Schizosaccharomyces pombe: one gene and its partners. The gene in region 2 interacts genetically with the main gene of each other region. Each region holds a gene or a part of one and is shown on either strand. Other genes may lie near its edges.

Evidence for each region.
Region 1: mutations in SPOM_SPBC365.16 (region 2) and wdr21 together harm fitness less than expected from each alone (positive genetic interaction), as found in Schizosaccharomyces pombe (one large-scale study listed by BioGRID).
Region 3: mutations in SPOM_SPBC365.16 (region 2) and saf4 together harm fitness more than expected from each alone (negative genetic interaction), as found in Schizosaccharomyces pombe (one large-scale study listed by BioGRID).
Region 4: mutations in SPOM_SPBC365.16 (region 2) and SPOM_SPBC18H10.05 together harm fitness more than expected from each alone (negative genetic interaction), as found in Schizosaccharomyces pombe (one large-scale study listed by BioGRID).

The regions. Positions count from the first base shown.
Region 1 is NC_003424.3:325,573-332,166, forward strand, and holds wdr21 (WD-repeat family protein wdr21), read right to left. Parts: upstream 4,014-6,594; 5' UTR 3,913-4,013; coding exon 2,650-3,912; 3' UTR 2,624-2,649; downstream 1-2,623. Other genes in the region: cysteine-type deubiquitinase Miy1, read left to right, coding at 1,122-1,284, 1,370-1,819, 1,926-2,410; protein eti1, read right to left, coding at 4,238-6,594.
Region 2 is NC_003423.3:2,526,399-2,534,225, reverse strand, and holds SPOM_SPBC365.16 (uncharacterized protein), read right to left. Parts: upstream 4,560-7,827; 5' UTR 3,239-4,559; coding exon 2,405-3,238; 3' UTR 2,012-2,404; downstream 1-2,011. Other genes in the region: ccr1 (NADPH-cytochrome p450 reductase), read right to left, coding at 1-763; gamma tubulin complex GCP2 subunit Alp4, read right to left, coding at 7,811-7,827.
Region 3 is NC_003423.3:1,785,045-1,792,947, forward strand, and holds saf4 (splicing-associated factor Saf4), read right to left. Parts: upstream 4,003-7,903; coding exon 3,742-4,002; exon of another isoform or gene 3,697-3,741; coding exon 3,448-3,696; exon of another isoform or gene 3,393-3,447; coding exon 3,003-3,392; 3' UTR 2,874-3,002; coding exon of another isoform or gene 2,599-2,873; 3' UTR 2,564-2,598; downstream 1-2,563. Other genes in the region: ubiquitin hydrolase Ubp4, read right to left, coding at 1-704, 893-1,036, 1,097-1,204; SPOM_SPBC18H10.09 (zf-CHY type zinc finger protein), read left to right, coding at 1,288-1,370, 1,434-2,563, 2,599-2,873; PPR repeat-containing protein Ppr2, read right to left, coding at 4,340-5,638; RNase MRP subunit, ribosomal protein L7-like Rpl701, read right to left, coding at 5,975-6,601, 7,043-7,171; rps1402 (40S ribosomal protein uS11), read left to right, coding at 7,340-7,759.
Region 4 is NC_003423.3:1,776,081-1,784,196, reverse strand, and holds SPOM_SPBC18H10.05 (WD repeat-containing protein), read right to left. Parts: upstream 4,944-8,116; 5' UTR 4,184-4,943; coding exon 2,423-4,183; 3' UTR 2,223-2,422; downstream 1-2,222. Other genes in the region: wbp4 (WW domain-binding protein 4), read right to left, coding at 191-811, 885-938; swd2 (Set1C complex subunit Swd2.1), read left to right, coding at 1,041-1,216, 1,277-1,541, 1,590-2,222; sce3 (translation initiation factor), read left to right, coding at 7,300-7,303, 7,341-7,351, 7,393-7,483, 7,648-8,116.

The DNA of each region.
Region 1 (6,594 bases), on a different chromosome or scaffold from region 2:
TTCGCGAGTATAAATGATAACAAACAAAATAGTTTTGTCTTTTCTATAATACTTCTTTTAGAGTATAATTAAATTATAATCTCAATTTTAATTTATTCAAAGTATATTACAATCATCCTTCATTGTCTTGGTCAATCAACTGAAAGAAATAATTTCCTGAAAATTGTAAATCCAGTATAAAGCAGCTTATATAGCCTTCTCGTTTATAAGATGAAAATTATGAAAAGTGTTTCAATGATGATGCTACCTATATAATCAATACTACTTTACTGAAGTTGCATTTAAACTTTCAAACATAGCTGAAAATAAAATGGTTAAAAACGCATACTTTAAAGCAAATTCATAACTTTTCTTTGGTTCATTAATAATTACAACTGTTAAGCATTGAAAAGATATCTACTGGAAAAGTCTTAAGAGACAGTTGTTTTTTTTAAACTCATTTATTTGATTAATTTATTTTAATTTTCAATCTTGAACTCATTTTCTAAAATTTTCTGGGTTTCTGACAACTTAATAAAAGGAAGTTGTAATTTTACAAATACCTCATTTCTAGTTTATAATTACAGTAAATGAGTGCAAAAGAGTTCATCAACACTTAAAAGAAATTTAATTAATATACTAATTTTTAAAAATATAAATTCAATTTTAACTTTTTGCAACTAAAGTCGATTTTTTAATATACTTCATTGCTTTCTTCACTATAAATAGAATCCAAAATTTGAAGATTACAAAATAGCTGTTAAAAACTTAACAAAGGCAATTATTACAAATACTGAATGTATAAAGCTTGGGCCCCAATTGCAATTACCTAATAATATGTATACGAAATATAGCACAATCCTAAAAGTTCAATTTCAGTATATAAGATTTCATTTAAACTATAAATCCTCCTGTCATAAAACTAAATTTATTTTGAGTAAACACCTTTTATCATTAGCACTGACACTGGTTTTACTGTGATATGGTGGTGTAAGCTATATCCTTACCCAACTTACGATCAACGTCTCTAAATTAACTCATAAGGTTAATTTAAATGACACATTTAGGAATCCTTGAATATAAATTTGAAATTTTCAAAAAGGAATTCTTTAAGAAACCTAAGTTCTGTTAATTACCAAGCCATGGATAATGTTCAGGAACACGATCCTGATACTCAAGAGCATAATAATGAAACTCAGAACCATAAGCAAGAGGACCATTCTAATTCCTACCAGACAAGAACTATTCCTTTCATAGAACCCCTTTCAAGGGAATACCAGAAACGAATTATTCTATGTCAAACAGGTAATCCTTATAAAGACTTGTAACGTTTTAAACATAATTGCAAGCTTTTATTCCGCAAATTCTAAGTTGCTTACTTTGTATTCAGTTAATGGCCCGTGTCCTATAATTGCTTTGTCCAATGCATTAATATTAAAGTCAAACGTAGATCGACCATTTGAATTGCCGAAGAAAAGATACATCACACCCGATGAACTGACAGAATACTTGGTGGAGTTTGCTAAAGCATACGGCTTATGCAAAAATCAGCAAAGTCTTCAGGATAAACTGACATCTATGCATTTCGGTCAGCAATTGAATCCTTGTCTCTATGATATTGAAAAGTTTGAGTATGGGCATGAAATCTTTTGTACATTTGGAGTTCGATTAGTTCATGGTTGGATTCTTTCAGATGATATGGGTTTGAGCGACGAAGATTTAAGCTACCTTCGAAAGCTTGAATATTATGAAAAAGTTGCAGATACATTTGCCGAACGTCGTTCTCTATTAGAGATGCAGGAGCCACTAACTGAACAGCAGCAAGATTTTTTAAATAATTGTAAGTTTTTACTTATCTGTCGTGCATACTTTCTTCAGTTTACTGCTTGAGAGACTTTAGCCTTATAATTTGCTATATGTTTTTTACAAACTAACACTTCAAATAGCTACATGTGTTGACAAAGTTATGGAAAATCGTTATACAATGCAATTTTTGACGAATGCTGGTCTTAAAAAGATTCTTGAGCTTGTAGGTCCAGGGGAAATAGTCGTGGTTTTTCGTTCCAGTCATTTCAGTACCATGTATTCAAATCCAGATTCATTCGCACAATTTACTTTGGTCACAGATAGTGGATACGCAAGGACAGGTGAAGATGTTGTGTGGGAAACCTTTGACTCGCAAACAGTTGAGACAGGCAATGGTGAACTTTGTGCAGCTAACTTCATTCCTGCTGTTTATGTTTTGAATCAAAGAAAGGAGGAGAAAAAAAAACGCGCTAAAGATGATGAACAATATGCCAAGAGACTAGCGAAAGAAGAAGAAGAAAGAGGAAAAAAGGAGACTCCTAAAAAGGCTTCCAACACTCCTCGTCGTAACAAATCCAATACCCAGAAATCACGTAAGCAAAGCGAAAACTGTTTAATTTCGTGATGAAACATGATACTTAGAGGATCTGTCTTTTATATTTTTATTTTTTGTATTCGCTCTAGTGAAAGCGTATGCATTTACTACATTTATTCCATAGTTTCTTTTACGTCAACAATTATTAATTAATATTGAAATCTCCTAAACTTTTTTGAAAGATTGAAAAGTAAACAAGCATTACATATATCCGTAAGACTAAAGATACTATTGCTACCAAAAAGAATTTTCTTCACCTTGTTAAATGCTCATGGTTCGTAAATAAGTAAGCCTCGACCATACGGTAGAACCCAACCGGTACCATTCATTGCTTTTACCCAAGACCCATCTCGACATAAATATTTACCATCGTCAACTCGCATTTCCTTGAATGGTAACGAACAGTCGGTTTTCCAAAAACGTAAAACATAATCATCACCAGCACTGCTAAAAATGCTTCCATTCTCATTTTTCATCAAAGCTAAATTTCTTTCAAGCAAATTAGAATGACCCATATAAGACATAATTGACTGGGGTCTTTTTTTACTTTGCAGAAATCGGCAATCATACAAAGAAATTTTAGATTCCAAACCACTAACCAAAAGCTTCGGTTGGGAAAAATCTAAGTTTTGCATTGAACAAATGCTAGATCCATGATAGAATCGCTGTACACATTCTTTCTTCGTCCGAAGATCATACACTAATACACTTTTATTTCGACATCCAGCAATGACTAAGTTGTCACCCAAATATTTAAGACTGAATACGTCTCCTTTAGATTGCAAACTTTGCGTTAATTTTCCCTCTCGATTAATTATTGCAATTTTTGAGGTGCCACCAACTGCAAAGCCCATCTCTCCAATACTTTCTGCACATAAAGGGGTTTTCAAAAGTTTAAGAGATCCCCAACGGTAATTATTGGATTCACCCAATAGCTGGTTATAAGTAGATATATGAAATTGTCCCTCATTCTGCAGAGAAGGAGATGTAGACCAGAAAATTTGCATTGCGTTACATACCAAAGAAGAAATGGGATTATTAGAGAGGCCTATCCTTGACAAGGAAAAATCCTGAATTGAACCTTCTGAAGTATATTTTTCATTTGCAACTCCAGATTTGTCTTCAGGGGTAAGACAACACCCCAATATGTCGCCGTTTTTGGAAGTTAAAATTATGGTATTAACTTCGCGAAGCCAACCTATTTTTTGCAGCTCAGTCCCAACTGGAAGCTGCCGAAGATTTATTTTTTTTAGGTTTTTTGCACATAAATAATCTCTGTCATCATTACAAGAATAAGGATATTGTGAAAACTGTCTATCAAAAAGATAAGTTGAAAAGTTGAAAACGGGATTGCCTCCTTTTCCTTTGGTTCGTTCTTTACTGATATTATTAAAACGCTTCCCCCTTTTCAACCTCTCCTTAGTATAAATATTAGAGGACGGAGTAGACTGCCCCGAGCTAATTATTCGAAAGTAACGCTTTTTTTCAGAATTGTAATAATAACCGGGAATATGAAATGGTAGTCCGCTCATAACCCAGGGATTGATGGTAAGCAAAAGAAATTAAAAACAAAAAAGGTTTTGTTAAAATGTTGTCGTTATACCATTTCTCTGTTGTATGTAGCCAAATACTTAGGTATTCAAAAGACAACACAACTATATAAATTAATAAAAAAAAGCACCAGTGTGCGGCAAACGGTATAATAAGGTAACACGATAAAATTCCTTATTTGTTAACTTATAGTTAATAGCTTAAATGCCCCCTATAAGGAAAAAATGCCGTAAAAGACAAAATTACTAGTGCTTGCAGCTAAGCTTATTGTCGCTCATAAGCTAGTTTCAGAGATTCCTCCATTTTCTATGTATTGAGAAAAATATCGACTTCTCTTAACAGTGCTTGGAGCGTCGTAATTAAAAATTCGTGCTTCGACTTCTGTATACTAGAGTTACCAATTAGCACAAATTCCCTCACGTTTTTAAGAACAATGCGCACAACGGAGGAGAACAGCTCAGGAGTTAATGTGCCGCTGTTGTTAAATACTGATAATGTCATAGTCCGAAGACGTGAAGTAGCTCGCGATAATAGTTGAAGACGAGAAAATGATAGCTGTTCCTCTTTTATGATTAACTTGGAAAGAACATGAATAAATGCTAAAAGATGAATTGAAGAACAATCATCTAGTGAATAATCAGGCACATCTTGTAATGACCGGAATGCTTCAATAGAGGGATCCTTCGTGAAGCAAATTAACGCCTCTTTATTCTTAGAAATGCGAACCAATTCCAAAACTTTTTTCGATACTGCAAATGACTCAGATTCTTCAAAATTAGAAGAGGATGTTGGACTTTGATCGCTAGTTTCTAATCGCTCAATCATTAAGAGTTTTTCAAGCTTTTGGTTAATGTTTCCTATGCGGTTTGAAAAATCGCACAACTGCCTATTACTGCTTCTATAAGTGGATGTTAAGTTTTCCAAGTCGTTTGCCAAAAATCCAGTTTCTAGGAATCCTACCTCAAGAAGAAAAGGTTTTGAATGTATCAATTTGAAAAGATCAGAAATTTCATCGGTTGCAGCTTCTGAAATAGTCTGCTCCAACAATTTCATGTAAGAGTTCTTAACAACCAATTCCACTCGACTATGCAAGCTTTCAAATTTTGCGTGGATTCTACTTTTCATGACTGAAGAGATATTTTCTCTAACCTCATTAGGATTTTGAGGAACGTATTGATTGAAGAATGGCATGGAGGGATAACAAACTGATCCCAAAGACTCTGTAAGATTTTGTGTTGTGGAATCATCCTTAGATTTTGCACAATTTTTTAAATCTTGACTCAAAGCCCTTAGCGTGTTATTAGACTTTAATCCCGAAGTTAATGATGCCCTAGCTAAAATTCGCTTGTCAGAATTAGGATATTCCAAAGAAGTGCCCTCGTCAAATTTGGAATCGCTTTCTATGCAGAACTGAAAATATCCAGAACTTAGTGCCAAAATTAGTTCAAGTTTGGAACTATCACAGCCAATTAAGGTGACAAAAACAATGCTATGATCCACCACCTCATTCGATATTACTTTATTAATATAACCAGAATCTCCAAAACGCTTGCCTTTGGAAACAGCAGAGATCAAAGCTGCAGTGTTAGATAATACACCCACATTGGATAAATCAGAAGGTGAATAAATAAAGATATCCAAAAGCTGATTCCTTTTTGCAACAATCATGTTTGAATTATTGAAAGTAAGTAATTGCTGAATAGGTGATTTCTCTTTTTCATTTGAAAACTCAATTTCTTGAGTAAAAGCACATAACCCAAAATCAAATAAACCTAATATAGTATTATTAGCATAGGAGACACAAATAACTTTATCAATGATATCATTATTGTTCGGTGGAGATGAAAGAAAAGAAATAGAATTTGCTGTACTCGGAAGCTGAAGGCTCATTGTCGCGATAGCCGCCCAGTTACCTCGGTGTGAAGGATTAGTAGAAAATAAATTAGAAACTGGAAATGAATAGAAAAAAATTTGAGAATTCACTAATATTGCAACAACAGAACGGTCAGAAGAGATGGTGTATGAGTTAATCGGCCCAGGTAAATCAACCTTGGCAGCTTGTAATCCATTAAAATCTTTTGCATAAACTTTAGGGCTAATATTATTGGAACGAATATTTGATATATCCACAATATATAAAGAATTCTTTACAATCATAGAAAACATATTTGAAGAATTAGGAATCCAATCACAAATACCATAATTGGCACGACGGATGGTAAACAAAAGTGAAACTGAAATTTCAGATCGCTTCTGTAAAATTTTCCAAACATACAGATTAGAGAGAGCGTCCATTACCAAAAGATGGGGCTTTGTATGCTTATTTTTGCCAAAATGTAGATTTTTAACATCAGATTGCGTATAAAGTATGAGCGATTGATCGGTATTGGCGTTCAGTACGCGAATATGGCAAGGATCCTGATCCACGTATGCAAAATATTCAGAAAATTTATCAATAACTTGTGAGTTAGCATAAAATGTACTATAAGGAAGATCACAAGATGCTATTTTATTGCAATCTTCTAAAAGCAAAGGAGATGCAACGAATGAAGCCGGAAAAGAAAAAACTCGACCCAAAGAGGGTTCAATACAGTAAACATCATGAGGCACATCAGGTGCGGGTGTTAAAATTTTCTTTTGCTCATCCTTCAATAGTTGAGTAT
Region 2 (7,827 bases):
CTTTCAATTGCTGACGACTTGGTTCTCCCAAAAAGACAGTAGAACTAGTGTTGGAAATTTCAGGCTTCTCAATAACTTCAAACATAGGATTGTATTCCTTGTGGACTTCTTGCAAATGGAACAGCTTACCTATCTCAGGTAAAGTATCATCCTTCCATTGTAAATAGTCCTCTTCAAGCATACCAGCGGCATCGTCGCCCAAACCTAGATTGCCCACACGAGTAGCGCCTAAACGAGTCATTGCAGCATCTACCTTTTTAGCCATTGCGTTATAATACTCATAGGTATGATTTCCAAGGCCAAAAATTGCATAACGAATTCCTTCGAAGGGAGTATCTTCAATGCCTTTTCCACTTGAAAAAACGGTATCATCGCCCTCAAGAAGTTGCAAAAAGGCCTCCGCATTGTCCGTAGGTTCACCTTCACCGTAAGTTGCGAGAAAGAATACCAATAGTTTTGATCTATCAAAGTTGTCCAAGTCGGTTAAATCATAGTTCTCAAGATCGAAAACCATATTGGTAAGATTGAAGTTTGCCTTTGCTTCCGTTGAAAAACGGTAGGCAAAGTCCTCAGCGGTACCAGTTTGAGATCCAAAGAAAACCGCGGCAGTGAGCTTTTCGGCCTCCATCAACTCGACAATACTGTCGGTAGCCACGACTCGCCTCTCAGGAGCCTTTGGCTTGTTGAGAAAATTGTTATAAATAAAGTAACACAAGCTAAGGATCAAAATAATGACCAGCAATACATATTCATAAGTCTTCATAATGCAAAAAATATAATAACCAAATTTTACGAGTGTTCAACTTCGGGATTTAATCCGCCTTTTATTCCAAGGGTAAATGTGCGTGTAAAAAACGAGTGAGTCAACAGAATTGTCTGATGATAGGCAGATGCGAAATAAAGAGCGAAACAGTACTATGCTTTTTTAGCTTGAACCACTTTGAAGCAGATACACTAAAGCGCGAGACAATAAAAATGAAGAAACTCAAACAAGGGTTTCTATAGCCTCTTAAACAAAAAGTCAAGTATTTATCCAAATACTCTAAAGAATCTATAAAAATCAAGATGAAGTATGTAGGCTAAGATACTTAATTAATGAAACAACTGCGCTTTATATGATGAGCACAATAACCATGCCAATTGAACAATCAAATAGATGCTAGAAAGCTTCTAAAGTAATTGACTTCAAAAAGCAATCCTTTCGGGAGAAAAGCTAATTGTTTTGGCAAACGCTAATACCTGGTCGCTGGTAACTCCTGCACCTATATACTGCTATAATATAAAAAAAAAAAATATAGTTCGATTTTTCAATGATTACTTTTTGAAAATTTCTATTAATTAATAAAAAACTATTTAATAAATTCATGTATTAATTTTGGTTAATTAGCATGTTCAACGAAGTTAAAGTTTGACAGATATAGATATCCAACATATGTAGTAAGTATGGATGGAGAGATAAAAATGGGAATGGGAATGAGAGTATTTTTAGATAGAAATAGTGTGACGGCAATCGTACAATAGTTAATTTATTGTGGCAAGCCATCGCAATAACAAAATACCTCGGGAAGAGAATTAAGCGCAATACGAAATTATGGTAAATCGGCGATTCTACTAGTAGGTGTTTATTGTTTTACTAATTATAATGACGATCAGTAAAAAGTAGGTGAGCTTTGAAAAAACCGTTGCTATACACTTTAGGATTTATTTTGACGAACCAATTAATATGGCTACCGTAGTACGGTACATTTTGAACCATTCAGTAAGCTAGTAGATAGGAATAAGCTATCGTCTTTCTGGTCAACATTGGAATGCAAAAAGAAATAATCTCACTCTGTTTATCGGTTTTAGGTTTCTACCGAAAGCCCATTCAAAGACCGTAAAACACTATCGGCAAAAGCTGTTTGTAAACGAACGATAAAAGAATAAATTTGCTAAACAAGCGGTCTTTACGGTTGCTCGTTTTTTGACATACACAAATTTGATACTCAACCATACTAAACACAAACGAAAATGACTTAAAATAGAATTCAAATTTTATTTATTAATGTACAAAAGAAAACCATGTGTCTCTTTGCCTCTTTATTTTCTCTTGCAGTTTTTCTTTTTTCTTCAAATTCTTCTCCAGACAAAGAAAAAACTCAGACGCATAAAAATCAAGTAGAAAACTTTTTTAAGTGAAACCTTCATTACACATACACTATATAGTTCATTCAAAAAAGTATGCAGCTTCATGTTCCAGATAACAGGATGTATGCCACTTTCCTTATATAGGTTTAAACCGTAGTCCACACACTTTTTAGACACTATTCAGTAGTGAATAATAAAAAAATGATGAAAAATAATAATAATAAAATAATAATAATAATAATAGCCGAAAGAAAAAGGAAAGAACGTCATGTATGGACTAAGCAAGAGCAAATTGTTGTTTTTTCATAGTACGTTGTTGAAGCGAATCCAAATAAGTGGTTCGTAATTTACGATTAGTAACACCGCCAATACCAAAAGCCGGAAGAATCCTAACCATACGGGCGAATGTGCTTTTTAGTAAATGCTTACGAACTTGCATAACGCGGTTGGCTGCTGATATGTTAGGTCCACCTCTGTTATAAATGTCAAGGGACAGGAGATGAAGAGGTGTGCTAATAAACTGTACGGCACAGGGGGTGAGCAATTGAGCGGTGATTAAACCACCGGGGAGTAATGGAGCAATCATAGGAGGTATGTTGAAGGAAAAGGCGATGGTGAGTGCATCACGAAGTCCATAAAGACCGTAACAAGACCAAGGGAGAGGACGAGGAGAACCGGTGCCCCAAAATTTGGTAAAGAAACTATCCTTCAAGATGGATAAACCGCTGTTTGCAGCGGTGACAGAACAGAATTTAAACCAGCCGGAAGTTTCCGCCTTGAAGACGGGATTCTTGTGACGAATGTTATCCAGTGTGTCTATGGAATTGGCCGTCATATATGTGCCCGAGTATAATGTAAAGACCAGGGCAAAGGGAGCGCTAAAAAAGAAGGCGCCTGGCTTTGATAAAACATATTTGATGGAGCGACTAACAGAGCGTAATAAAGTAGAACGGCCACTAGTATTTTCGACGATTGAGCGGTCGATCGTCAAGATAAAGGGAGAAATCATGGCACTGGCGGCTGTAGCGGCAAATGCATCGATGCCGATCCGCTTCCAGGTATTGGAGGGAACGGGTTTGGGGGACAAAGGGGGTTGACTATTAAGAGCCATGTTAAAGTCAAAGAGTTTAAAAAAAAGATTAGAAAAGATAAAAAATAAGAATAAAAAAACCAGAAAAGATAAAAAAAATATTAAAAACTTTTTTGTGAAAATAATAAAACAAGCCAAGCAAAAGGTCTTTAGGTATCTATTTTTCTCTCTTTTTAAAGGTTTAATCTAATTTATACAACGTTAAAGCTGAAAAGAAAGAGACGATTGCGAAAAAAAAGCAAAGCCAAAAATAATTTTTCTTCAAATAAACTGCACTTCAACAAATGCAATGAAGGAAAAAATTTAAAACGTTAAACACGAATAGTATAGGCTAACGGGGCAGATAGTACAGGTGAGAGGAAATGTCACCAAAAAAAGACAATTAAAAAGATGCTGAGTAAAAATGAAAGACCGAGAAACGACGACAAGACCAATTGAACAACAAAAGTAGTAGTAGTAGTAGTAGCAACAAAAACAAGTAAAGAGAGGGAAACCAAGTAATTCACACTTTGGAAATGTATATATTCCTTTCTTTTCTTTTTCTAAGTAAAAAGATATATATTATATCAACAAAAAAAGGTAAACCCGAAATCCTAAAATTATTATAAATACAAAAAACCAATAATAACCACAAAGTCCAAGTTAAAGCAAAACCACTTGGATTGTAAGAAGGAAGATTGATGGTGGTTTAAAAAAAAATAAGACGATGATTGGGATTGTGAATAAAAAAATTCAATTCAATTTGATTCGTATCGTTAAAACTGCTTCGCTCAATCAAAACTAACAGTAACGTGAAGTAGGCGATATAGGGAAAAGACAGAACGATTTCCAAAATAAGAACGACAAGTGACTAAGCCGTTTCTATAGCAAACAAAGGCTAAGTTTACAAGGGTTGATCAATCAACGGGTGGAAATGAGGTATATCGATGCAATGATAAGACAACCTTGTCCAACAATCCAACTAGCCAATGAGAAAACAAAAGTCAGACAGCCCACCAAATAGCAGGTGAACGAGTAAAAAACAATTAAAACAAAGGGTTTGATTCCACGCTTTGAGAGAATTATCCCGTACGTTTGAGATGGGGAAAGGATGCGTAAAAAAAGCGGTGGTGGTACTGTGGTGGTTGTAGTAGCGGTAGGAATGGCAATATCAACAACACTCTTCAGTAACAAATAGTACTGGGCAAGCAGCAGTATGAGTATGGGATAGCAGTGAGTAAACAAGAGTGTCTAAGGACTTTAAAAGATATTGCTCGTAATAGTTGCTAGTTGTTCCCAGTTACGCTGGTTCCTATCCTTCTTCTCGTGTCGTAATTGGATCAAGTGCTTGAAGAGGCGAGCTGGAAGAGAAAAAAGAGCGAACGAAGCACGTTTTATATCAAGTTGGCATCAATTTTTAGTCTTAAAGATTCTGTGTTATCTTGCGTTAAACGGGTCAAGATAGGGTGATGATCCCCTTAATTAGCAAGACCGAACAACTTGGGACAACTTGGGATAACGGACTTTTGCAAGAAAATTAGGTGACCCAACCTGGTATCGAGGTAACAGCATCCGAGGTAAAACCGAATATGAGAACAAGTACCGACGAGCTTGAAGGGCGGCAGCGGGGCAAGCAAAAAGACAAGGTGGAAGATGCTGTGTTGAAGTATAGGAGGAAGTGAGATGAAGATTTTGTATTGAGATGTGTTGACGCTGTCTAATAAAGGAAGGTTGCTGACAAATAAGGCATGCTCTTGATTGTTTTATTTTTATTTTTTATTTATTTTTTTTTGTGGTTAATTGTTTTTTTTCTAACTCACTTACTCATCTAATCATTTTTTCTCTGGTCCTTTTTCTCTAGTTCCTTTTTTCCTCTAGTCCCTTTTCTCCTCTAGTCCTTCTTCTCTAGTGGTCTTCTCATCTTTCTAGTCTGGTATTTACTGTTTCACATGCAATAGTTCTAGTAGCGATGCAGCTATTCATTGCAAGCGACTATTCCTACAATGTAAACAGTGTAAACATTGTAGAGAGTCGCTGCTCAAAATCTTAGAAACGGCTAATACTCTTTTCTACTCTTGCTTTTTTGTTGATTTCTTTTCTATTGTTTTCTTTACTTTACTTTCTCTACTTTGCTTGTCATTGCTAGGTCTAGTCTTGTCGGGCGAAACAACCCAACAAGAGTAAATTTTCAGATGGTGACGTTGAAGACTGAGATCCTCGACATCAAGATTTGGGTGTGATAAACGAACGGACCCTTAGATGGATAGCGTATTCACACCCTAAACCCGAAACATAGGGTAGCGTTTTTAAGGCTGCCGAAAGGCGAGTCTACTATGGCCCCTACGGTGGATAAGATGGATAGTGAGTAAATCCAAAGGGTATTTGTCAAGCAAAAAAATAAATAAATAAAGCAATCAATAGGTGGTGTTGCATTCGCTAGTTTGCTTCATTTATTAATTATTACATTCATTAGTTTTTTATGTTCGTTAGATATTAAAAGATCATCAAACTCATCCTTCCTCTTATAACGTCTCTTTTTCTTTTTTGTTTACTCTTCACACTCTTGCATACTTTCATAATTTTTCCAACAAAACTTATCTTGTCAAAGCTCACCAAATTTTATCTACGAAATAATCTTTCTCTCTCTCTCTTCATTATCAGTTAGCTACATTCCATTTTCCTTCTGTCTCCCTACTTTCTCCCACCCCGATCATCCACCTATCCATCATCCTTCATCTACTACTGCTTACTATCCGTAATCTATAAGAAGTGTTGGCACTCACTAATCCTCTGAATTTACGGATACTGCTCTTGAACTCGTTATCGCTATGTTTCGAACGGCGACTCTCTTCCTAAACACTTTCTAGCAGGTGGTTTCGCGATCCCAATTGCTAAAACACTTTATTTCATTTTCCGTCCCCTGCTGCCAAGGAGAATTTCGGATCTAAATCGACGAGGAAGAAGAGGACGGTATTGCAAAATTTGAGAGATATTTACGTTTGTATGAAGTTTGAAGAAAAAAAAAAAAAAAAAGAGGATGAAAATTTTTCTAACATACAATCTTTCATCAAATCCTTAAACTTGTTTTAGTAGTACGCTTACTAGAAATCCTTTTTTAAATTTTTTTTTATTAATTACCTAGTATTTAGCTTTTTTTGTTTTGCTATTTTGGTTCTCATATTTTTTATCTTTAGTTCTATTTCTATTCTATTTGTTCTCTTCTATCCTTTCTCATCATTAGTCAGATAAAATAAAAATCTCTCAATTCAAATATTTCGATTTCAATACATTCGGCTTAAAATGTTTCATTCGGTTCGAAATGCTCTTTTATATTCCGTTCCTTGTTATCTTCCCCTTTATTTCATCTTAACTTACTTATCGTGTCCATTTGTAATCTGTAAAGTATATTTGCTAGTTTCTAATTATTTCTTTCTCCCTCTCTCTGTTTCTCTTGTTTCCTCTTACATGGTGGGGGATTGATAATTTTGGGCAATCCACTGTGAGATAAGTTTTCGTTTTTCTTACTCCTTGATGCGATAATTCTAAAGTCATATGATTCCTTTGCCTCACACCCAGCTATCGCCCCCATACTTAATCATACAATCTGTACTCACTTTTCATAGTAACTCTATCCTTTCGTAATAACCATCCTACACTAATCTAAATTGACGTTTTCCTTCGATATTACAATTTTTGTATGCGCTTTACTAGCTTACCTGTTCCTTTGTTTACGCATCCATTAAACTTTTAACTGCAAAATACAATTACTAGAAATTCATTACGAGTGCACACAAATGAATAGTTTTGCGTATACAATACTATAACCACCTAAATTAAACCTTGGTTTGGTTTTTATATACATACATCATCATCATTACTGTCGTAGCAACTGTACTTCTTCACATAACAAAGTTCATTACTATAGCTGTCTATGGTACAAACGTTAGCATACATTGTATCACTTCAAAATCAATCGATAGCTCTTTAGACTAGGAACAAATGCTTAGCCTCTCTCTTCGTTCTTCCTCAATCACGCGGCATACTGCCGACTTGCCTTAAATTTAGCGACATAGCTAATAAAAAATTAGCGATCAAAAATCCAAGTTACCATTCCTCAGGCATTATCAGCAAACCCTGTTTCAGACATTTTAAAAAATCGATTATTTTTTATATAACACAAGTGTTGGCATATTAAACGCTCGCCATGCCTTTCTCCATAATCATTCTTAAATTCATGGCCAATGGCAGTCGTCTTTTTGTCAATTTTTAACCGAATAGTGCAGTACGCTTTTAGTGTGACAACTGGCCAAAAAAAAGTCCAAACTACTGAAAATGGACCAATGTATACTGCGGATAAGCAATGCTTGTTTATGAAGATAATTGGCCATTCCGCAAGATCCTCACTCCAAGTCATTTCTTTATTAACGAGTACAAGCAACAAGATGTCAAAGATAAGGTTATCCAAAAACCGACTATATAAATATCCATAAAAGTTTTTCTCCCAATTTCCATTGCTGTTTGTCAGATGTTTCTTCATATCTCAATAAAACAATAGTAACGTTGTTCCATTTGTAGTTTTTCTACCTTGCCTTGTTTTATCTTGTCTCTTCTTAGTTATCCCGTCAATTTCA
Region 3 (7,903 bases), 740 kb from region 2:
CATTGGCCATCGATGGAGAAATCTCTATTCAATGACTGTACAATTTCTAAAAAATTCCTTGGAGATATTGATCTCTGACCATGGTTTAATAAGACACTTTGAAGCAAGGAAAAGAAAGCAGATGTGATTTTTCCACCGGTACCCAATGGATTTTTGGTATTGATATTTTGAAGCAATCCTCTCCCCTGTAACATAGGAATAGTCAAGTCCTTACACGCAAAAAGACATTGCAGGACACAATTCATGTAACAAGTATTACCCAAATTCGTTAAACCTATAGGCTGATAATTTTCATACGATAAAGAACTATCAACTTTCTTAGGGTTCGCCAATTCCATGAAATGAGGATCCAACTTCAACGAACGTAACATCGAGTAAAGCTTGTAAGCCAAAGAAACGTCTTCGAAGTATCTTTCCAAACTGTAACAAATAACCATGCTTGGATGAAAAGGTGCGGATTTTAAAAAGTCATATATTTTTGAAGAATCCATCGATTGCAAACAGGATATTGGGATGGCAATCGTGTGCTTCGAAAAAACATAACCCTTTGAAGACTCTTGGGAATAGAAATTAAGAAAAAGAACTTTAAGTGATGATTTTTTTGATAGGGAAAGAGCGTCAGAGATTTGAATTACAGGCAAATAATGCTTCACCGCTAATTTGCTTTTTATAGTAAAGGCTTTGGAAACGGCTTGAATTGCTAACTAAAAGGACATGTTAGTATTCAAGATTGTAACTTGAACAAAAAATAAATTAAGTTTGCTTCAAAGATCATAATTAGTACAGTCTCGTCAACTATATCAAATTTATCTGACGAGAAGGCTAGGGAGCTTTGAATACAAAATTTTCGTGTTTTGAGCATTAAAAAAAATACTATGTACAATGTCGATACCTTTTGGAACTGTTTGAATTCTCCATAATGAGTAGACTTAACAGAAATCTCGAATCGGCATGGAATTTCGTAAGCAAGTTTTAGTGCTTTTAAATAGTAATAGTATGCTTTGAGTAATGAATTTTTTTGTTCAAGAGTTTGGGCCTCAAAACTGTTAGTAATTGAAGCACATTACTATAAACGGCACGGAAAAATTAGACATACCTCTTCAAGCCAGCGTTGTCCTCTGAAGGAACAGCTTTGAATCGTTTCATCTTCATTAATATAAACGAATGCTAATTCAAATAGTCTGTCGAAATAATCATCGGACATCCGAGGAAGAACCGAGTATTTGTGTTGGCGACTTAACCTGAATTGAACCAAATACTACAAGACTATAGCCTTTTTTGGTTATTATGGTTTCAATTGAAGCTATGAAGGATTCAAATTGGGACTTGCAGATACAAGTATTCCGGCGAAGGCTTAATCCGGAAGTTATGTAAGTACTAAGCAGGTTAGCTGTGGGTTAGTTAATGTAAACATCTTTATTAACTAGTACCAGAGAGGCAAGAAATGAGATTTTCTTATCCTTGCCCAGTGATCATGGATTGATTACTTTAGTTATAAATAAAGATAAACCGTTTCAAATATCGGTATTACTTGAAAAAAATCAAGAGTTCATGCAAACGGCAATGAATAAGTACGTTGAAACGGCATTTCAAAATCAGAAAACAACTTTGACAAGTTTATTTAATTATTTGTTACAAAATTGGAAATCATTTGAGACATGCAATACAAAAGAGCGTGAGTTGATGGTTCAACAAGTCGATTCTAAGAAACCAGAAACCCCAACTGACTTAGAGCCGTTGGCAAATAAGCTTGAAGGACCTCTATCAGAGAGGGTTCATTTGAACACTACACTTGACTATGAAGTACTGCGTGGTCAAAATCACTGTCAAAAGCAGAATACTACCCAAACAAAAACTACCATCTCTGGCTCTGAACAGTTATTCAATGATGAAAAGCCAAAAAAAATTATTTATTCAAAAGGAGGAAACGATGGGAAAGAAGATGATCTACAAAATGTTAATGAACCACAGGATGCTTACAGTAACGATCATGACATTCAGAGCAAAGACACAGAGCTTCTGGGTAACGAATACTGCTTAGAATGGAAGAATCCGCATTTAACTAATGTCGGTACTCTCAAAGCACCAATTTTACGTTTGGTCATAAAGTGTGTTCGGTGCCATTATGGAAGTGAAATTTCTATTGCTACAAAATTTTCTCTTGTTTGCAATAAGTGTAGTAATACTCTAAGATTAGTTTGGGTGCCTGGTGTGATTCACCCAAATAATGCCCGTTTAGGTATCCTCCATACTTTAGGATGTGTACCGGTTGACGTGATGCCCATTGACTGTCAGGTCTCTTGTATGGAATGTGTTGATGAGCAGATAACATCCTTTAAAGGTATTTCTTCCATGCAGCCCATGCTACAGTTTTGTAAAGTATGCAAAAACAGAATCTTGGTTGAACATCAAGATACCGAATTTCATTTGTTAAAACAACGACAAAGTTCAATGGGCGGGAAGGTGAGCGCAAAAAAGAAGCAAAAACAAAACTTAAACATTACGAAAGGATTGCCACTTCCCAATAATGGTGCTTGCGAACATTACAAAAAATCATTCAGATGTAAGTCGTTTATAAAATTCATAATTAACAATCAGGGTTTCGTTTTTCATGTTGTGATCGTGTTTATCCATGTGATGAATGTCATGACGCTGATCAAAATCATACATTTGAGCATGCTAATCGAATAATATGTGGGTACTGTGCCATGGAATCTTTCTACAAAAAGGATGCAACTTGCCCCCATTGTGGAAATATGACTGTGAAAAAACAAACCAGTGCCTACTGGGAGGGAGGAAAAGGAATGCGCGATCGCGTTCGCATGAGTAGGAAGGATCCAAGGAAGTACAAAAGGAAGCATCACGGTAATTAATTGGGTTGCATGACATCCATATTTTTTTGCTTCATTAGATACCCATATTGTATAAAAATTTAATGAATAACAAGTAGTTAATCTTTTGATAGAAGATACTTTTAAAGTCTTCGTATTTAACCAAAATAATTATCCTTCATCATCACTCACTTCATAATTGACGAGAGAAACCGAATTATCTTCAAGGATTTTCTCTCCCTTTAAATTTTCTGTAGGAAATTTCCTTTGCTCGCTCCTTAGCTTCTCGGAAGGGACAAATTTTCGAGCAAAAGGATCTTTTTTTGCGAATGAAGTCTCAGCAAACTTTGCAAAAGTCGAAAATGTTCTAGAAGAGGGCATTAATGTTCTTCTATAATCTAATTTCCTTATAAATTTATTCTTTCCTAATTCGTTATCTAGCAACAATAATGCCTTATCCTTGTCAGAAGAAGAGGGTGGTAATATATCAATGTCCAACGCTGCACGGTTTTTGAGAGATAGATCTTTAGCTTCTTGCTTTTTTTCAATTTTTTTCCTTTCCTAAGTTATGGGTTAGTTAATATGAAAATTTTAACGCAAAACAAATTCTTCTTACCCGAAACTGTTTTCGCAGCCTCTGAGAAGAAACGAAAGGATCCGACCAAAGCCTTTCATTTTTCTCATATATAAAGTTTATTACAGAACTATTATGCTTTTCTGACTTTTGCTGAGTTAATTGGGTTTCCAGCGCTTCAATTGCATCAGACGGCACCTTTTCGTCGTTTTCAGCTTTTGCAGGACGTTCATTGATGTCTTGAGGTTCAATTTTCCTTCTGCCTCCAGAAGCAACGATGTATTCTGTATTCTATTTATGTCAGTAACAAATTTGTTAAATTAATCAAACCAGTACCTTAGGATCCGTATGTACATCGATAGGGTTTGAGCATAAATGACATTTTAAGCTGAATGACCATATTTTCGTAGTATAGTATGAGCCAATCTCTTTTTTAACAGCATTGAATCTAGTGCCTTGTTGAATGATATTTTCACAATTGTTGCACCACACTGGAAATGGCATTTCAAACCGAATTACATTTCGTAATTTATCAAATTTTCTTTTAGCATTCGGCCCTTCCGGGGGAATATATTTCCCCATATTAAATCCTTGCATTTTTAGTGAGTATATAGCTCTTTATGCCCAAAATCAGTAGTTCCTAAGTTAATACTACGTCTAGGTGAAGTTCAGGCTAAATCAGTGGCATGCAACAGAAACATAATTATAACTCTTAGTTAATTCATGGCTTTTCAACAAACAATTTTAAATTACGTTTGCTAAATTGACGTTAAAATAATAAGGGTTCCATTCTACAGTTTCAAACGGACAAGGTAAACATGTACAAATAAATAAATTACATGACGATTATTTGAATTCATTTCTTATAAATTAATAGAAAATTATAAATGACATAAAAAGGTATCGATGAATTATTAAACACTTGATGATATTTTTAGGTTGCTTCAACGGGGACGTTCAATTTCTTGGCCAAGTCTAAGAAGCTTTTCGTGTAGCTATAAAATTTCGGCCTTTTGCATAATGATAAGACAATCAAAAATGTCTGCTGAGTAGGGAAAGGACCGTTATGCGACATCCTTTTAATGGTATTTAAGCATTCAGCTGCTTGGCCCTGCTGAACAAGGTTACGTAGCTTCTCATGATATACTTGAAGATTTAAATCAAATTTGTGACTTTCCTCAAAATACTTCCAATACCTTGCTAACAAATCACCGTTTTGTATTTGACGAATGACCTGTAATGCTGTAACCAAACTTCTTGAAGTACAATCGCAATATGGGGGTAAAGGATAACGCAAGTTGGAATCTTCGAAAATCTGATATTCCAATCCCATCACTTTTGTAAGAATATTTAACCCCACGTTTCTCACTTGAGGCGAGTTGCTAGTAGCCAGAAGTTTCACAAAGGAACAAATAAGACTTTCATCAACTGCTATTCCTTTCTTTTGGCATTCAAGGACAAAATAATTCCAAAGATTCGTCCCCATCTTTAACACTTCTTCACGTTGTTCCGGATTGAACATAGAAAAGTCGTTCAAAAGTCGAAGAATTTGAGATCCACTATAGAAATCCAATGTTTGTTTGATGGATGGAATAATCATTGACACCAATACCATACTTTTAAGCTTTAGACTACACTTGGATATAATTCGTATGTGATGCAAATTGGATGTGACATTATTAGACTCCTTGAGAGCACTAGCTGTTACCTTTTCACTATATTCACGTAGTTTAGAAAAATTTCCTTGCTTATTCTTTTCAATAGCATCGCAAAATCCCTTTAGAAGAATGGAGTATGTATGATCGCTAGGTTTTTGTTGGCGCTTTTTCATATCATTGTACAAAGACCAAGCAGCGTTGTAATGCCCTTTAGCTAAATGATATTGTAGTACAAGGTTATAGGCAACCGTCTTCTTGGCATTTGATCTCTCGTACAGTAAATGCAATGCTTTCTCTAAAGACTCTTTTTGAAGTAACGAAGATACATTTTTAGCCAGTTTGAAACCATCGTTTCTTATTAAGGATGACTTAGTTTTTTTATTTCGAAACTCATTTAGATTGTTGACTTGCTCCTTGAATTTCAAAGCATCAGCGATTAAAAGGCGCTTTCGTACTAATTTCCGCGCATTACTTACTGAAACACTATACGTGGTTGCAAATTCCCGCAAGCAGAAGCGGTTTAGGAGCAAATCGACAAAGGCCCTTCGCGGAAATGTCCTTTTAATGAATTGCATTAAACAAACCACTAGTTTATTCAAGTTTAGGATTAAAACCGCGTTAGTAGGAAGTAAGTTATAAAATATGAGTTGTTACGAATGAAGACACTACATCATTAGTTCAACCATCGTCTTATGTACAACGTTGAGTAAAAGTGCTGTTTGACGAGGTAAAATTACTATATGCACACAAAAGATTGCAAAAATGAGTTAACAAAGCTAATTACAATGAAAGTAACTACTAGCGATGAATTTACTAATAACACCTAATGACCAAAACAACTAAATCTACTTGTTGTAAATTATTTTGTCAAAGCTAGGAAAGATATGGTTATTTTTAACATCTACACCAAATTAAAGCATCTTTCTAACGAGAGAGTTAATATGCTCATCACGCTTGCCAGCATCACCACCTTCGATGAAATGCTTGAACTTGCGATCTCTCCAGCCACCCAAGGGAGAAGAAAGTTGGAAGGGCCAGATGAAGTTGGCAGCTTGCTTGAAGTTGGGACCGACGGTGTAAATTTCGTGAATCAAATCCTCGATAGACAAGATAGAGTACTTGCCCAAAGCAGCTTCGATGATAGCATTGTCAGAAAGAGCAATGCGTTGTTTGTTGACCTTACCAAAACCACGCTTGTAAAGGAGCTCACGAACAGTCTTGAGGTTAGGAATACCATAAGTAACATAAGGTTCAACGACTTGAAGCATTTCTTTGGTAGCCTTGTTAAATTTAACAAAGACACCGTTGTTGATTTGAATAAGACGGAGTAATTGCATGATCTTACGGGCCTTGGGAGGAATGTTGTTGATACCACGAATACGGATGACAAAGACCAACTTGGTTTCGTCAGGGACGTAGTAGTTGCCCTCAGCACGAGCCTTGCGACCGAGTTCGATTTGCTCACGTTCGGCCTTGCGGTACTCAGCATCGTAAGATTCGGCGCGCTTTGCAATGAGCTCACGCTTCTTTTGTTGAGCCTAAACATAACAGTTAATACAGTAGAAATTTTGTGAAATTAGAATGGATGTAATTTAGATGGAAAGAAATAAATAAAGAGAAAAGTAGAAAAACAGTAATCAGTCCCGAAAGATGGTAAATTGTGGAACGCGCACAGCCTAAGCTAGCTATCCGAAATTTGTTGTCATCATCTTGTTTTTCATATTTCTCAATTATCTGCTTTATTATTGCTTATAAAAATAAAGCAATCATAAAAAATTCCATGACAGGCTAAAGCGTTTGACTAATTTTTGGGAGGTGAAAACCCTTGCAAACCGATCAAAATGAATGTGGGAGGGTTCTATCTAGATGAAAAAACACAATCTGTAGTGTACTTTATAGATAAACTCTTCATCATTCAAAAGATTTCTGTACTTTATTCAATCCATCCAAAGACAAATATCCATAGACAAAACACTTACAGCTTTCTTCTCGGCAGCGGCAGCAACACGCTGTTCACGAGACTGCTCTTGGGTCTTCTTCTTCTTCAAAAGAGACTCAGGAGCAAAGATTTGCTCCTTTGAGGGGACCGTTGACGATGCTACAGCCATGATGGTGGATGTCTGGTGGTAAAGTTGGTAAGAAAAGACTAGTGGTCAACTTTTCCCATGAGCAGTCACAAAAGTTTCGACACAAATTTGTGACTGTTCCTTTAGTTTACACAGGAAGAAGCCCAAAACAAAAGAGATATCGCAGTTACCAAAAACTAACCACGAAAAATGGCTACTAACGTTGGCCCTCAAATCCGTTCCGGTGAGCTTGTTTTCGGCGTTGCTCACATCTTCGCCTCCTTTAATGATACATTCGTTCACATCACTGATTTGACCGGCAAGGAAACCATTGTTCGTGTCACCGGTGGTATGAAGGTCAAGACTGATCGTGATGAGTCTTCTCCTTACGCTGCTATGTTAGCCGCCCAAGACGCTGCTGCTAAGTGCAAGGAAGTTGGTATCACTGCTCTTCACATCAAGATCCGTGCTACTGGTGGTACTGCTACCAAGACCCCTGGTCCTGGTGCTCAAGCTGCCCTTCGTGCCTTGGCCCGTGCTGGTATGCGTATTGGCCGTATTGAGGATGTTACTCCCATCCCCACTGATTCTACTCGTAGAAAGGGTGGTCGTCGTGGTCGCAGACTTTAAGTGTGCTGTCGTATCTGCCAGTGTCTCGAATTTTATTTCGGTACTTTTCTGTCACATGGGAGGAATTTCACTGGAATTGTTATTCGTTTAGGATATCTACAGTCAAAAATGGATTTGTAATTTTCTTCTAAAAGTATTCCGTAG
Region 4 (8,116 bases), 750 kb from region 2:
TGTTTTCAATAAACCTCAAATATAGTTATTGAATAAATGTTCAACTTAGCATTCATAACCGATATGAATACTTACTTAATGCTGATTACCCAACACAAAAGCTACTCTCGTTATGTTGAACAGAATGCAGGAATTGGATACAAAATTTTTTCATCCTAGAATTTTTTTTAAACAAAGATGGTTTTTTTCTTCAAGATTGATCATATTCTTTTAAGGAAGATTTTGTTCTTAACTTTCCAGACTTTTTCTTTTTAAACACCACTTTGTTTTCATTTGATTCCTTGCTTTCTAGCGATTTGTTTCCCTCGTTTTCAGCTAACTTAGGTACTTTATCTAAGTTTTTTGGTTTTACCCGAAAATGAAATGAAGATCTTTCTTCTTTTTCGATGATCTCTCTGTTTCTTTTCAAAGAGGTCCCTGGTAGAGACTCATTTTTATTAGTAGTTGTTTCCTTGGTTTCTTCATTTTCTTCTTGCTTTGCTAGCAATGTAGGAATATAGCTGGTATGAGTAGTAGAGATGGTGTCAGTCTCCGTAGAACTTGTAGGAATATCCCAATCATCCAAAGTAGCTTTTTTTTTAGAGGGACGTAATTTTGGATGCTCCTTTTTTGGTTTCTCATACGATGCTAGTTCAGATGACACCGCTGAAGCAGTGGTAGCAGTAGCTGATTTTGGTATAGATAAATTCTTCTCAAGTTCCTGCCTTAAAAGGTTGGAACGATGAATATCATCCATTACTTTTTTAATAGCATCCTGATGTTTATAAGTTTGCTCATGGCTCCGTCGCGCAAATGGTGTATCTTTCACGAACTGTACTGTTAGTAGGATTCTATTAATTTCACCACTTTAGAAATAATTTTTGGATGTTATAGAAAAAACTTACTATTTGGCAATATTTACAATAATATTTTGGAATACTTTTCCAGTAATCAGCCATTCTGAATATTAATAGGAGATACGCACTAAATACATACTTAAAACTTATTTACCCATATATTTTTCTCAGGAAACCCACCTTTTAGCATACCGTTATTTAGTAATGACAACAGTTTCAATTACTTTTGACTTGTTGTCGTCTATGCAACCAAGAAAATGGCTGAAAAATCAGAATTTTGTTGGTGAAATTACCTCTCTCAGTTTTGACGACAGTGGAGAGTTGTGCTTGGCGTCGTGTACTGATGATACTTTACAACTGTATAACTGCATTTCTGGAAAGTAAGTACTTCTTAAATTCACTTTTGAAACCTGTTTGGCTAACTGACCATGAACTTCTAGATTTGTGAAATCACTTGCAAGCAAAAAGTACGGAGCACATTTAGGTCGGTTTACTCATCATTCAAATTCATTAATACATGCTTCCACAAAGGAAGACAATACCGTTCGTTATTTAGACGTTGTGACAAATCGGTATCTTCGATATTTTCCTGGCCATAAGCAAACAGTGACTTCAATCGATGTATCACCAGCAGATGAAACTTTTTTAAGCGCTTCTTTAGATAATACTATTCGCCTTTGGGACCTTCGGTCTCCAAATTGCCAGGTATGAGTATAACAATTACTGATAATCAAACTAACTAGGAATACGTAGGGTTTGCTCAATGTTAGTTCACCCGTTGTTGCAGCTTTTGATGCTACAGGACTAATCTTTGCCTCAGTTAGTGAAAGAAAATACAAAATTTCTCTTTATAACATTAAATCATTTGATGCTCGCCCATTTCAAGACATTCCTTTAACATTCCTGCCCCCTCATGTCCGCATTGCAAATGTGGAATTCAGTACTGATGGTAAATATCTATTGCTAACAACTGGAAATGATTTTCATTACGTTATAGACGCTTATAGTGGAAGTGAATTATTAAGAGTTCCTTCAAAGGTTAGCACAAAAACCCAAGATGGAAATTTGACTTATTATGCTTCAGCTTGCATGTCTCCAGATAGTAAATTTCTTTTTACTTCATATGATAATGAGCATCTTTGCATGTATCAACTACCAGAACTGAAACAAACTGTTAACTCGGATCACATTGTTAATTCATTCACCGAAATGGGCCTAGCATCAACTACTCCGACCAGCAATAGTCATTCAACAGAGAACCCGCTAGCTATCATTCCTTCTTCAACATCTAAAAACCTTTTACCAGAAACACCTTCTATTGTTCGCTTTAATCCACGCTTCTCTCAATTAGTTACAGCACATTCTGGAGTAATTTTCTGGACGTAAAATTGTTTTTGTGTCTTAACAAACCACGAAAAAATGAATATTATATTATACTATTATTAAAAACAATTTCATAAAAAAACTTCATAACTATTATTTAAAAGGGGGAAAAAATGAGTCCTCTATTTTAAATGACACCTGAATGACTTAGAAGACTTAAACAAAATAAAAAAAGGTAAAGTAATATTAGTTTTGAATCGAGATTAGGTTCGTAATAAACGCTTCACAAAGTGTCCAAATTTTGAGTTTCTAAATCCATGATGGGAATTCCCCAAATCATAATCAACACACAAGACAATAGTCATACCTGCCATGTTGGTAGCAATTATTATATCAATCGGATGTACAGGAGGTGTTCCATATGATCTGTGACTATGAGGTTTTACTAGATTGTATCCTTCTGCAATTAAACTGCGATCATGTTCCGACTCTTTAGCTTCGACAGCAGTCCTTGCTGGTGCAATGATGGTCGAAGTCAGTCTCTCACTACAAACCTTGAATGTTTCCGTGGGCAAATGGAGAATGACAGAGCGTTTTCTTGATGCATTGATGAGTACCTTGTTGGGAATATGCCATAAAACTACTTCATTAGTATCACTTCCACTAATGATATAACTGTTGTCTTCACTTAAACGAGAAAGTACTCTGCCATTAACACGATGAGCATCACTCAGTTTCAACACTAAAGCGTGAGTGACCGTGTTGTATAACCGGATAGCATTGTCATTAGTAGATACTAAAACAACGTTGTCGGATTTTGAATCGTTTGGAATGATAGATGCGCACTGTAATCCAGTGACTCGGCATTTTTTATTTCTTGAGGGAGAATGATGAATTAGCCATGAGGACACATATTGTAAATTTTTAGTTTCATATATTGCACATAATCCGTAGAACATGCCCACAACGATCGACTCACCGTCTGGATAAAAACAAATAGTAGAAACGACATATTCAAGTTCCGTCCAATGCAATATTTTATGGCGTAAAATGGACCATAACTGAATTTTGCAATCAAGGGAACCAGAAACAAAATAACGATCGTCGATCGGGTGAAATGCGACACATGTAACAATCTCATTGTGCCTGAAAACCGCCAAGGATTTGGTTGATTTTGGATGCCAAAGCCTAACGGTTCTATCCGCAGAGCTAGTTAATAAAAAATCATTTTTGCTCCATGAAATGGAAAGGACTTCTGCGTTGTGACCTACACATTCTAGGACAGGTTCAGGTTCAAAAATGCTAGAAGGGGTAAAGAAACGACCACAACTTTGAGGACCTTCTTTGAGTAAAGTTTCTCTTCTTTCTGGTGTTTCAATTACTTTCCACACACGAATTATTGCATCTTTACCAGCGGTGGCCAGATATTTTCCACTTTTGCTAATTTCGGAGGCCCACACAGATTCTTTAAATTGAGAAGGCTCCCATTGCATAATTCGCTTGCCAAAAATAGTTTTTGACTTTGGAGCATCAGCCGGACCTATAACTTGAGAAACGTAAAGTTTTTGATTAAGTGTGATCTCCTTTTTGGGCATTCGTTTACAATGGACGGGAACGTAATGTCTCTGTCTTTTACTATCGATCTCACCACGATCAATCAAGTTCAGTAGAGATCGATCATCATCTCTTCCGGCCAATTTTTCCGTGTTTGGTGAATTCGTCTCGGCATACGTAGTAGAGTCTCGGGGTGTGTTAACTAAGCTAGAATTGTCATCATTATATTCGGTGTTCATACCAGTGTCGTTTTCTACATCTTCATCTTGTTGAATTGTTAAAGGTCTGAAGGGTCTTTTTTGAGATCTTGTGGATAATCCACGTACAGGGGTGGCAGGCGGATGTTCATCGTCTGTTTCTAGTTTGTAGGCATCATTGCCTGTACCAGAATCACTGCCGTTCACAGACACTTCTCTAGAATGTACTGACACATTATCTTCTCTTCCGGTCTCAGCAACCAAAACGCGCATCTCCAATGCAACTTCTTTTTAAGGTATTATTTTATATGAAAGTTTCCAAACAATACCCAAATTAATTCAAATAGGGAGGTCTTGAAAATGCAAACAAAGCGGAATTAGGAAATTAAAGAATAGGGAAGAACGAAATAGGAGGGATATAAAAACGCAAAGTAGATTGGGCAATCGAATAATATCAATGATGAGGGAATATTTTTTTATTGAGCAAGATAGAAAAGAAATTCGAGTAAAAAGGGAGATTAAAGGTGGATAGGAAAAAAAATGGAGATAATTAAATTTTGAAATTATTCGCAGAAAGTCGAATGCTTGGGAAATGCTATACACAAACGCTGTAGATGAAATACCAAACACGAGCAGAACTTCGGCATAGACTTTTTGTGAAATAAAAAAGAAACTTAAAAAGGATGCAACGAAGAATGGAGTGAAGCTATAATCAACAAATCAATCAATCAATCGGTATATGCACTTAAAATTTGAACCAGCAAATACCACTCGTAAAACCAAAGATGAAAATCAATAGATAAAGGATAAAAAAGAAAAAGAAAAAGAAAATTTTTAACAAAAAAATAATTTTGAGCAGAAAAGGCGTGGCTGTTGCTCAAATTGAATTGGAATTAAAATCTCTCTCTACTGTTTGCTTTTGCCGCTAAAGAAATTTAAAACGCAGACTGCACCAAGAGAACAAAATTTGTGTTTCAATTCCTGTTATAAACACACAATTTAAGTAAAAAAAGCAATAGCAGTGTAAATGGTTAAATTTCCGTTGTTTAATTCATGTCATAATTATATATACTCAGAATCCCATAGTCGTAGTAAGAAGGTAACAACGACTGGCCAGTAGCGGGAAACGCATTTTAGGGAACAATCCCTCGATAGTAAGATAAATCCATTTTTTTGAATTTACTTCCATTAATTAATAAAATCGAAGCAGAAAATCTGATTATAACTAAAAGAAGACTATTATAAATGTTACTTTCTTCTTTTTTTCATCATTATCTGCGGTTAGAAAAAAAATTAGAAATAAAGGATTCGATCTTCGTCAATATGACATTTTGGGGGTGTAGGGCTAATGAAACCAGCATGTTGGGAAATCCTTCAAAGCCACGATTTTTATAGAATCTTTTAAATTATAAATTCCTTTTTAAAATATATAATTGAATTTAGAAATGGCATAAAGGAATTGAATGAAATTTTTAGATTGGTTCGCAACCTGGATGGCAACCATTTGTTTGTTGTAAACAATACCTCTTTATGCGGATGCTTCTTTGTAAATAAAAGAAAATGAACATAAAGAATCCTTGAGAAGAAAGAAATCATAAGAAGAGTGAATTTGAACAAAAAAACAAGTGACATAAAAAATATAAAATGAAATAAATCGGTTTTCTTTGTTATCTAATTGTTAAAAAGGGCTGGTCGGTAATTAAATAAATGACTGCGTCCCACCAAGAAAAAAAGAAAGACCATTCCATTTTAATTTCAAATTCACACGTTTCTTTTATTAGATTTTACTTTCTTTTCAAATTCTTCCTTTATCTTTGCTCCAAGTCAATGAAACCCTTTGATTAATTTTTTCGATTTTTTTTTTCTAACATTATTATGATTTTAATATATTTTAATGGATTTTTTATTGTTTCAGAAATTTTTCGTTCTCCACTCAGCTCTCAGCTCACATTGAATATAGATCAAAGACAATTGTCTAAAAAAATAATAATAAAATAATAAACATCCGAATATCAATTGAAAACTGTATCATCCTCATTTTCTCTTACTATCCCAACCAGCCTTTGATGATAAACATTGGCAGAAGCGGCGGCCCTTTAACTCTAATGCGGGAACTTAAAATGTACCAACAATGGATCAACTTTCGTAACTTGATATATCTTTTAAAAATCGTGTAGATATTATCAATTGCACATATTCTGGAATTCCCAATTCTTCTTGTCTTGTCTCTCATATTACACAACTTGTTAAGCATAGACTAATGCATCTCGTCATACAACGTTAAAAGATAATACTGTGTCAGTGAATGAAAAAAGGATGATAAGCTGAATAGAAATGAATTTCAAAATCGCCGTATTTAGATTAGAAAAATTCCTTGCAATTTTGCTTCACCACCTTATTGTCTTGTTTACGTTTGTATCCAAAACATCGATTCATTTCTGTGCAAGCACGCGTCCTTTTCCTTTTCCTTTCCCCTATAATTAAGCCAATGTGTTTTTGTTTTGTTATAATTCCATATTAGAAAAGGAATCTGCAAAAAATGAAGTCTAAACACTGTCCAAACAGTCCAGTTCGCTGAGAAGTTTAAGTTTATTACTCTCAAAAACAAATTCAATGGTGTACAAAACTGATCATCATTCATCCCTTGAGACTATAACGTTCTCGTTTTTTGTTGATCGAGCTCAATAATAAATCATTTATCATTTATCAATGATACGTTTTTTCAATAGCGATTTACTTCAATGTCAAACCATGGTTGAACAAATCGTAAAGCCAATTTTAATCTTTGCTTTTGGTTTATCGCAAAATCAAATCTCTGTTTTCTGATTGAACTTCAAGAACTTTTTTTTAAACTATTATTTTATAGGAATTATTAGATTTGTGAAAGCTGACATCAAATACGGACTTCTTTCAAAAAAAAAAAAGGAAAATCATTTTCTCCTATCACAAGTATATAATCCCAAAAAAAAGACTTTCCATCAAATTGCAAACGCTACAATGGTTCCATATCCAATTTTCCATTGATTTATTTACAATAAAAAAACTACTTCCATCCAATCCTCTTTGCTCAACACGCTACTTATCGTTATGCGATTATAATGCTCACATTCACAAAAATTCCTCCATGCTTGATTTACCGAAATGATTTAATCCTCATTATCCATGACTGTGAGGAATAGAGACGTCTCCCAATTCTCCCTTTTTCTCGCCTTAGCAAATACAGCAGGCGGGAATGCTTCAGTCGTTCTACTATTGAGCAGTCACGGCATCACTGGGCTACGCTCTTGTGGACCAGCGCGCCAAGAATCGCAAATATTAAATCTGTCGAGAACGACGAAGAAAACGATCTTGTTAGTAAAAAGTGAAGATCTAAAAGAAAATATTTCATAATGGGCAAGTTGTGTTTTTGATCATGAGTTATTAATAATAGGTCCGAAAAAGGTTTGTTTAGGTAATTAGGCATGTTTGCTGAACGATATCAGAGTACGAAAATGAGTTTGAACGCCTTTTTGGGTGACGAGTCGTTTGGTTCGACTAACTGGGCTGATGATATTGATGATTTGCCAGCTTTGCGTAAGTATTTTGTTTTTTATAATGGAAAATTTTGGATTGAATTGGAGTGGGGTGTTTTTTAGGAATCCGAAAATTTCTATTAATTTTCGGCTCTCATTTTTGGGCTCCATCATTTTTCTATTTAATCTTTTGAAATTGCTTAGCTAACTCAATTTATCTATTAGCCCAAGACCGCACCACATCTACGTATCGTGCTACTCCTAGCTCTGCTGACGCCGGATACAATGCTCCTTCTTCCACGTTTGAGTCAGTTAGAAGTCCTCCCGAAAGCCGTCGCGAGGGTGGAATGGGAAGTGGTTACCAACGTGATGCCATTCCCATCCCTTCTGAACCCCCTTTTACAGCTCATGTTGGAAACTTGAGTTTTGACTTAACAGAAAACGATTTGGGCGACTTTTTCGGCGAAGGTGTCACTAGCATTCGCCTCGTCATTGACCCTCTCACTGAACGCTCTCGTGGCTTTGGATATGTTGAATTTGAGACCGCTGATACCTTGAGCGCCGCTTTAGCCTTATCCGGTGAGGATTTGATGGGACGTCCAGTCCGCATCACTGTTGCAGAGCCTCGTCGTTCATTTGCCCGTGAAGAACGCTCTACTGGTGACTGGGTTCGTCGTGGACCTCTTCCTCCTGC